Linked DNA regions of Daphnia pulex. The protein of the gene in region 1 purifies or fractionates together with the protein of each later gene. This does not show direct contact. Links are inferred from orthologs where the notes say so. Each region holds a gene or a part of one and is shown in the gene's direction. Other genes may lie near its edges.

Region 1 (3,030 bases):
TAAACATGATGAGCCGCGTTCAGTGGGAGGTGAAAGAAGTAATGAGCCAGCACAGTTCTTACGTGGACTATATACTTCAGGTAAGGTGTTCATTTCTTTACTCTTAGTTCTATTGTTCTGTCGCTTATTCCCAATTCTTCTCCGCCGGAGCCGCTGCAAGGTGCAATAAGTGGTGCAATTTCAGCAGCTGTTGTGTATGTGGGATTTCCTTCTAGTTGGTCTGAAGCAGGTTGATTTTCCATTAAAATTGCCGGCCAAAGCACAGTGTCCGGGGTAGGATATTCTGGTTTCTGGTTTGGTCCTTGAATCTTTTCAGGGAAAAAAAAATCAGCAACAAAATTTGAAATTAATTATTCTCAACCGTATCTCACAGCTTTCTTCGACAAAGGCTACACGTACTTGAATATGTTTTGTCGTTATCCATTCTGCGTCAGGGTCTACAGAAGCCGTTTCCGTAGTTTTTCCGTCTTTACTGTATGGTACATTGTGTATGTATTCTTCATCAGTATTTGTTGGGAAACTTACTGCATTACTCGATTCAGTGTGGCCACTGCCGTCATAGATTTCTGAGCTGTTTGGTTGGTTTTCATGAAATGTGTCTCCATCGTTCCGATCAGAGTTATAATCGATAACTTCATTGCATTGCTCTTTCGTTTCAATTAGAGTCCATGCAGATAGGATACCCTATTTTCGTAACGAGTTAGAACATGGGAATTTTTTAAGATCGAAGATATATGTACTAACTTGTTTTATCAAAGTCCATTTCATTCGTTGCCAATCAGTGAAATCTAGGTCTGTGTTTGTTCGTACCATAATGAACGGAATCGCAATGTGTTCAAGAAGAAAGGTGTGACAGATGTAAGCAACTGCGTACTTTTTGTAGTCGATTGAAACAAAATTCAGTGTAGCAAAACCAAATGCGTCTGAAAAATGTCAAAAAATTATATACTAGGTCAGGAACTTAAATTTTATAATGCTGTATGTACTGAAAGGCCAGGATAGTTTTATAAGAAATGTCCCTTCGGTGATTCGATTTTGCATAAGACGAAACTTCAATGGTTGTTGCCATGTCTCTGGTTGGTCTTTACAATTGGGCCAATCCAATGATATTCTTATCCAGTGGCTATTAGTGTCGTTTCCGGTTTTATTCTGATTCTCAGTATCTTCCTCGAAGTTTAAAATGGGTTGTTGACAACACTGGGGAAATGGCCATGGGAGATGTTGAATTATCCACTGCCCTGTTATCTTATATTTGTAAAATTATGAAAGCAAATTAATGTTATTGAACGGAAAGATTATCATGTAAAACATACCTGATGAATGTTGAGTGACATCGAGTTAGAGTTCGGACAACTTCCGGGTTGTAAAAGTGAATGAGTGCCCCACTCTAACGAAAAACTAAAGACAAATAATTCCAAGAAAACGGTTAAATGCAAAATGGACCACATTTTCGGAGATAAATATTGTCATCCAATTCCAAAAGCTGTTGATGTACAATTGAAACCGCTAAAGAAGCCCTCAGTTCTAGGTCTCTAGAGTAGTTGTGTATGGAAAGGCTTTTGTCGGTGTGGTCATCATTGTTACTATTTTACTTGTTTTACTGCTTCCGTTTCCGGTTTTCCACCAGTTGTATGTATATAAAAAAAATCTGGCAAACGGATGGGCGTTCCTACATAGGTGACCACGAAATTTAATAGGAAAATACTTCATTAATGCAAAATTTTCATTCGATTTCTCTACAGCTTTTTTCGTTCTTTTTTATATCTGCAGGTTCTGAACGATTACGATTCGAGTGTTCTTCGTGTCTGCTACCCTCATACGCTGCCTGCCGAGATATATAACATTTTATGGGATCAAATCCTTCGTGTGTGTTATCACATGCTGCTTGACGGGTATTAGCTTCAACTGTCTATTAAAGATGTTGTTAAAAATAGTTACCCTTTGATAGGTTTTCCGCTGTGCGGAAATGCACGAATGAAGGCCGTGCATTAATGCAATTAGATTTGAGGCATTTCCAAGTGAAAGTCGAATGTCTAACTAGATTAAGACCTCTTCCCGATCCATCCATAGTTGAAACGTACATTAAAGCATATTATCTTCCCGAAAATGCATTGGAAAAATGGATCCAAGAACAAACGGTAATAATTTTGATTTGGTTTGAAGAGAAGTTTAGTTTGTTTCAGTATTGTTTAAAGTTAAAGCAACATAAAAATTGTATTGATCATTTTTCAGGAATATTCTCCAAGGCAGATGATGAATCTTCTCCAGTGTGTAAGTCAAGGAAGTAAAAAGATTCGTTTAAATTTGACCTCGTTTATGGAAGACTTGGACTTGAATCGTCGGTAACGTAAATGTTGCAATTAATCTTTACCGATAATACAAGTTATGTGTAATAATATCAACCAGAATTTCCGTGTCAAAAGGTTATTCCATTCCATCATTTAACTGTCACCTTATATCAGGAATTTAAAAACTCGATTGGTCTATCGCAATTATTTAACTACTTTAAAACCAACTTGAACCTTTCGAATTTAACTAGAATAATAGTGAAATTTTCCACAATAATAATTGTACAAATGTCATGGCCATCGTTTATTACCAGATAGCAAAAACGGAACAAGAGAAACAGATTATTCCTTATCGTCATCATCATCCTCTTCTTCGTTGTTAATCTAAAAACAAAAACAAATTAGTTACGTTACTGGTACTATCACTTGATATTATTCACTTACGTTGAAATATCTGAGCTCGTACGAGGTCTTTCCGTTAGCAACGACTCGCAGCCAATCACGAAGGTTGTTCTTCTTCAAATACCGCTTCGTGAGATACTTCAAATACCTAATTTAAACATAAAATACTTATTCACTGATTTACATTTACCTACTAAAAAGATCAACAATAGTCTCAGAGTAGTCCACACATCAGTTTTCAGAGACTCTAGTTCGTTAATCTTATGGATATATCATCATATCAATTACTGTAATCAAACACCAGAACAACACATACCTCTTGGAGAAAGGAACATCTGAG
Region 2 (4,264 bases), on another chromosome or scaffold:
ATGTCGCTGCTACAAAATGTTGTCTCATCATCAATTGTTAATTTTTTGGTTCCCTCTTTTACCCAATTTTTTAACTCTGGCAAAGTAGGTGCAGGAGTGGAATCTAGATGAAGCCATGAAATCTCTTCTTCCACTACAACAGTCTAGAAGACAACAGAATGAATGAATGAAATAATCAAGATAAATGTAGACATTAACAACCTCTCTACTTGAGTCCCATTCAACATCTTCAGCTTCCAATCCTTTTATCTGCAAACCCAATCCTCTTCTTCCGCGTTGTTTAGAGACTTCGATGGGCTGTGTCATACCTTGGGATTTCTTACCAAGTCCAGTTCCTTTAGCCCAACCCATTTTAGCCTTTAAGTAGTTCAGAAATCTATTAGCAGCCACATAGTATGCACTGTAAGAATATTAAACTGACCATCATTGCTGTGGCTTTATGATTTATGACTGGAGCAGCAGCAGATTTAGGTTTGATGAGTGTTTTATGTACAGAAGGCATGATAGGCTGATCATCATCACTAGAATCAGAATCTTGACTACTGGATGGTGCATTAAACCCATATCCTCCATCAGCATTACTTTTGGATGGGCTAACAATGACAGTGCTACGTTCACATGTTTCAATGTCATTTAGTTTCTTTCTTGAGTTAACTTCTCCTGTATTATTATAATACTGTGTGTTTGGTTTTTTCAAAGGAGGTCTGTAACTATCATCATCTGAACTGGAATCTGTAGAAATTTTGCAGGAAATTACTTATATTATATATATATAACCCATTAGTTGCAAAACGGGTTCCACCAATTTATTCAAGCTAGGTTAATTATTGCTGAAGATAAACCAACTTTTTTCTATAAAAAAATTTAAACAGCGTCTCATACTAACCACTCAGTGATGTTATTTTTCCTTGCGAAGCCATTGTTTAGCGTTTTGTAGTTGTGTAGACTATTTGATGACTGACGTCGTTCCTAATAATATAACGTTTCCAAATTTTTAAGTTAATTCAAAAGCCAAAAGCTTCCAAAAGTTGATTTCCATGATTTATATATGACTCACCAGAATTAAACGTACGCATTGACATGTGGCTATAGAAGTCAAAATGCAAGCATCTTGAAAATACACAAAAAAAAATGTCTGACGAATGATTTAATAAAACGATCGAATGACCGAACGGAAGAAAGTAAACACCGCTCGTTCTTGCTCACGCTAGCATAATCTGATATCTGTAGCGATGTCTGCTACAGTCTGGGTCTTTCATTTTTATTGGCTGATATGAAAATATTTTGAGTTTAGTATCAGTACATAGAGGGCAGCAGATAAGGTGGGGTCAGCTGTTAGTGTGGTGGTATTATTGTGTAATGTAATGAGCTAATCAGCCAGCAGCTCTCTGCAGACTGCATATCCAAAACCTAAAGCAAGCCGGCCTGTCATAATTTCTTACCTGTTATTTTTATGCCTTGGGTTGGCGGTTTGAGACTTGAAGCGTTAAGACATTCTGACATCAGCTCGCGAAACGTCAAAAACTTACATTAACGCTATCCAATCCCCAACCATTCGATTTGCAGTTACAACCACAGACTAAGAGGGTAAAGACTACGATCAGGGATAGGGCTAAAGAGGGATGCTTGAAGCGATGCTCGTCCTATGCCGTATGGTGGCGCGTCGAGCACACAAAACGAAAGCCATTATTTTTCCTCTTTCCCTACTGATTAGAGTCTTCACACACCGTAAGTTTATAATTAAACCATTAACATATCAATAGTGATGTTTTGTGTAAATATAGCTTAGATATCTCCCATGTTGTGGGAATTTTTTTAAATTTCTATGTGATGTCTAGATACAATCTATAAATTCCTTTATTAAACCCCCTTTTTGCCCATTTTCAGGCCCAGGAAACAGCGTTTCACGATTTTCAGGCCCATTTCAGAAAATCTTGAAACGCTGTTTCCTGGGCCTGAAAATGGGCAAAAAGGGGGTTTAATAAAGGAATTTATGGATTGTATCTAGACATCACATAGAAATTTAAAAAAATTCCCACAACATGGGAGATATCTAAGCTATATTTACACAAAACATCACTATTGATATGTTAATGGTTCAATTATAAACTTACGGTGTGTGAAGACTCTAATCAGTAGGGAAAGAGGAAAAATAATGGCTTTCGTTTTGTGTGCTCGACGCGCCACCATACGGCATAGGACGAGCATCGCTTCAAGGGGTTTATAGCCGTTCGTGGTCTTTACCCTCTTAGTCTGTGGTTACAACTAAAGAAATGTATGTGCGGTATGTGTAATCACTAATCAGTTGGTGAACAGTGCCAATGAAAAACGTCAAAATGAGTAAAGAACTAAATGAAAACGATAAAAGAAAAAGAAACAATCTTCTTTCTCAATACTATGGGATAACAGAAGAAAAGGATGTAGAAAACCTTTTTGACGTGGATGGAAAGCACTTTAATGCTGATGCCTATGTTGACAAACTGGTTCAGGTAATCATATTCTATTTCTTATTTTGCCAAATAATAAAATAAAACTTTTATGTGCTTGGATGTTTTTCAATAGGAAACCAGCTTAAAGCAACTTATAGATAAAGAACAGGAACTTGTTCGTGAAATTCAATCACTTGATTCAGAAATGCAAACTTTGGTTTATGAAAATTATAATAAATTTATCCTTGCCACTGATACCATCCGCCAAATGAAAAGTGATTTCAAAACTATGGAAGATGAAATGGAGAAGTTAGTTCAAGACATGTCTCATATTGCAACATTTGCCAACAATATATCTTCAAATTTACAGGTTGGTGAAATATTTGAGTTTAGAGTTGATTAAATTTTTAATAATAATGACCCTGTCTTTTTAGGATCGGCGCCAACAAATAACAAAGCTTTCAAACATTCACGAACTGCTAAAAAATTTGCAATTTTTGTTTGATCTTCCCAACAAGCTGAAAACATGTGTAGAAGAAAAGAATTATTCATTGGTTTGTTTCATTGACATTATCTGTCTATATTTCCTGTATTAAACTATAATGTTTCTTGTTTAGGCTGTTAAGTATTATGCAAAATCTGAGCAAGTTCTTCAAGATTTTGGAGATCATCCTTCTTTTAGTGGAATCCAATCAGATTGCAAAGAAATTGTTGAAACACTCAGGAAATGCCTAAAGGTGCAATTCAGCAGAGCTGAGGTAAGCTGTAAAAAAAATATTATGTTGGAAAGTAAGATAATAAGAAACTAACCAAAATGTCTATTGTGGAATTTTACATGACATGTTCATGGAATTCATAGGTAACTTCCCAGGAACTAGAAGAATCTGCATCTCTTTTATGCAAACTAGGTGAATCTTCCACTGACCTTGCAAGAGAATTTCTTGAAATCAATAAAGTGAGGTTAGAAAAAGATTTGGAAGATCTATCCTCATATGTGTGGTCTGGTGAAAATAATGGAGAAGTGGTCCTCATATTCATTGAAAAATGCTGCAATACAGCATTGAATAACGTTGCTCTTACCATTGCAACCTTCAACAACATTTTCCCTTCAACCATATCGAAACATAATGAGTATGTTTTACTTTTTATTGATTTTATGGTTTAAATTTTTTGCGTTTTCATCATAATACGTTGAATTAACAGGGGGATGAATAGCATGGCCACGGATGTTATTAATCAACTTTGCCCAATAGGTAAGGAGCTATATATTTCACCCTAGAAATTAGCTCATGTCATAAAATTTCCTTTTCGTCCCTGTAGTGGAAAGTAAAATTGTCGAAATCATCGGATTCGAGATAAGTGAAGCCTGCTGTTTGTCAGTAGTTGCGGCTTTGGATAAATTTCATCGTCGTCTATTGGCCGTTCAGCGACTATTACTGGTGGATAAGCAATGGAGCTTCACTCTCATTACTGAAATTGCTCGAATAATTTCACATCGAACAGCCGACGCTCTTGTTATCAAATGGACAAGTGAACTACAAGGCTGGCGTGATTCCTGGAATAACGATAATCAGCCACACGGTTCGGTCAAATTTATTGAAGGGGCTCTCGTGGAACACATTCATCGTGCTTTTGTTGCTCTAACGGTATTATCGTAAGGTTCTGTGTCATTTTATACCCGTTAAAATTCAACATTTATTTTTTATTTAGGCCTTTGTAGGAAATCACGTTACTTTTTCTCAAGATTCTCAATTCCGTCAGACATTTGGTCGACGTTACGTACGGGAAGAAGTATTAGTACAGTCGTTGAGTAAACTTTCCACTATGTTAGCAAA

The links.
Region 2: the proteins of syndetin-like (region 1) and vacuolar protein sorting-associated protein 51 homolog purify together in Homo sapiens (affinity purification with mass spectrometry; 7 studies listed by BioGRID and IntAct, counting the BioPlex papers as one, with this or other methods). This does not show direct contact. The link is inferred for Daphnia pulex from reciprocal best matches to the Homo sapiens genes VPS50 and VPS51.

Annotation. Positions count from the first base shown.
Region 1 is NC_060017.1:3,722,616-3,725,645, reverse strand, and holds the end of syndetin-like, read left to right. Parts: coding exon 1-80; exon of another isoform or gene 81-89; coding exon of another isoform or gene 90-308; intron 309-399; coding exon of another isoform or gene 400-684; intron 685-744; coding exon of another isoform or gene 745-923; intron 924-986; coding exon of another isoform or gene 987-1,245; intron 1,246-1,313; coding exon of another isoform or gene 1,314-1,448; exon of another isoform or gene 1,449-1,638; intron 1,639-1,770; coding exon 1,771-1,892; intron 1,893-1,948; coding exon 1,949-2,138; intron 2,139-2,232; coding exon 2,233-2,346; 3' UTR 2,347-2,402; downstream 2,403-3,030. Other genes in the region: uncharacterized protein LOC124195987, read right to left, coding at 90-308, 400-684, 745-923, 987-1,245, 1,314-1,448; 60S ribosomal protein L22-like, read right to left, coding at 2,631-2,672, 2,733-2,838, 3,007-3,030.
Region 2 is NC_060021.1:636,251-640,514, reverse strand, and holds the start of vacuolar protein sorting-associated protein 51 homolog, read left to right. Parts: upstream 1-1,368; 5' UTR 1,369-1,565; intron 1,566-2,258; 5' UTR 2,259-2,321; coding exon 2,322-2,489; intron 2,490-2,562; coding exon 2,563-2,799; intron 2,800-2,863; coding exon 2,864-2,983; intron 2,984-3,046; coding exon 3,047-3,187; intron 3,188-3,288; coding exon 3,289-3,560; intron 3,561-3,632; coding exon 3,633-3,682; intron 3,683-3,749; coding exon 3,750-4,075; intron 4,076-4,139; coding exon 4,140-4,264. Other genes in the region: cap-specific mRNA (nucleoside-2'-O-)-methyltransferase 1-like, read right to left, coding at 1-143, 202-357, 422-732, 887-920. UniProt on the Homo sapiens protein: Acts as a component of the GARP complex that is involved in retrograde transport from early and late endosomes to the trans-Golgi network (TGN).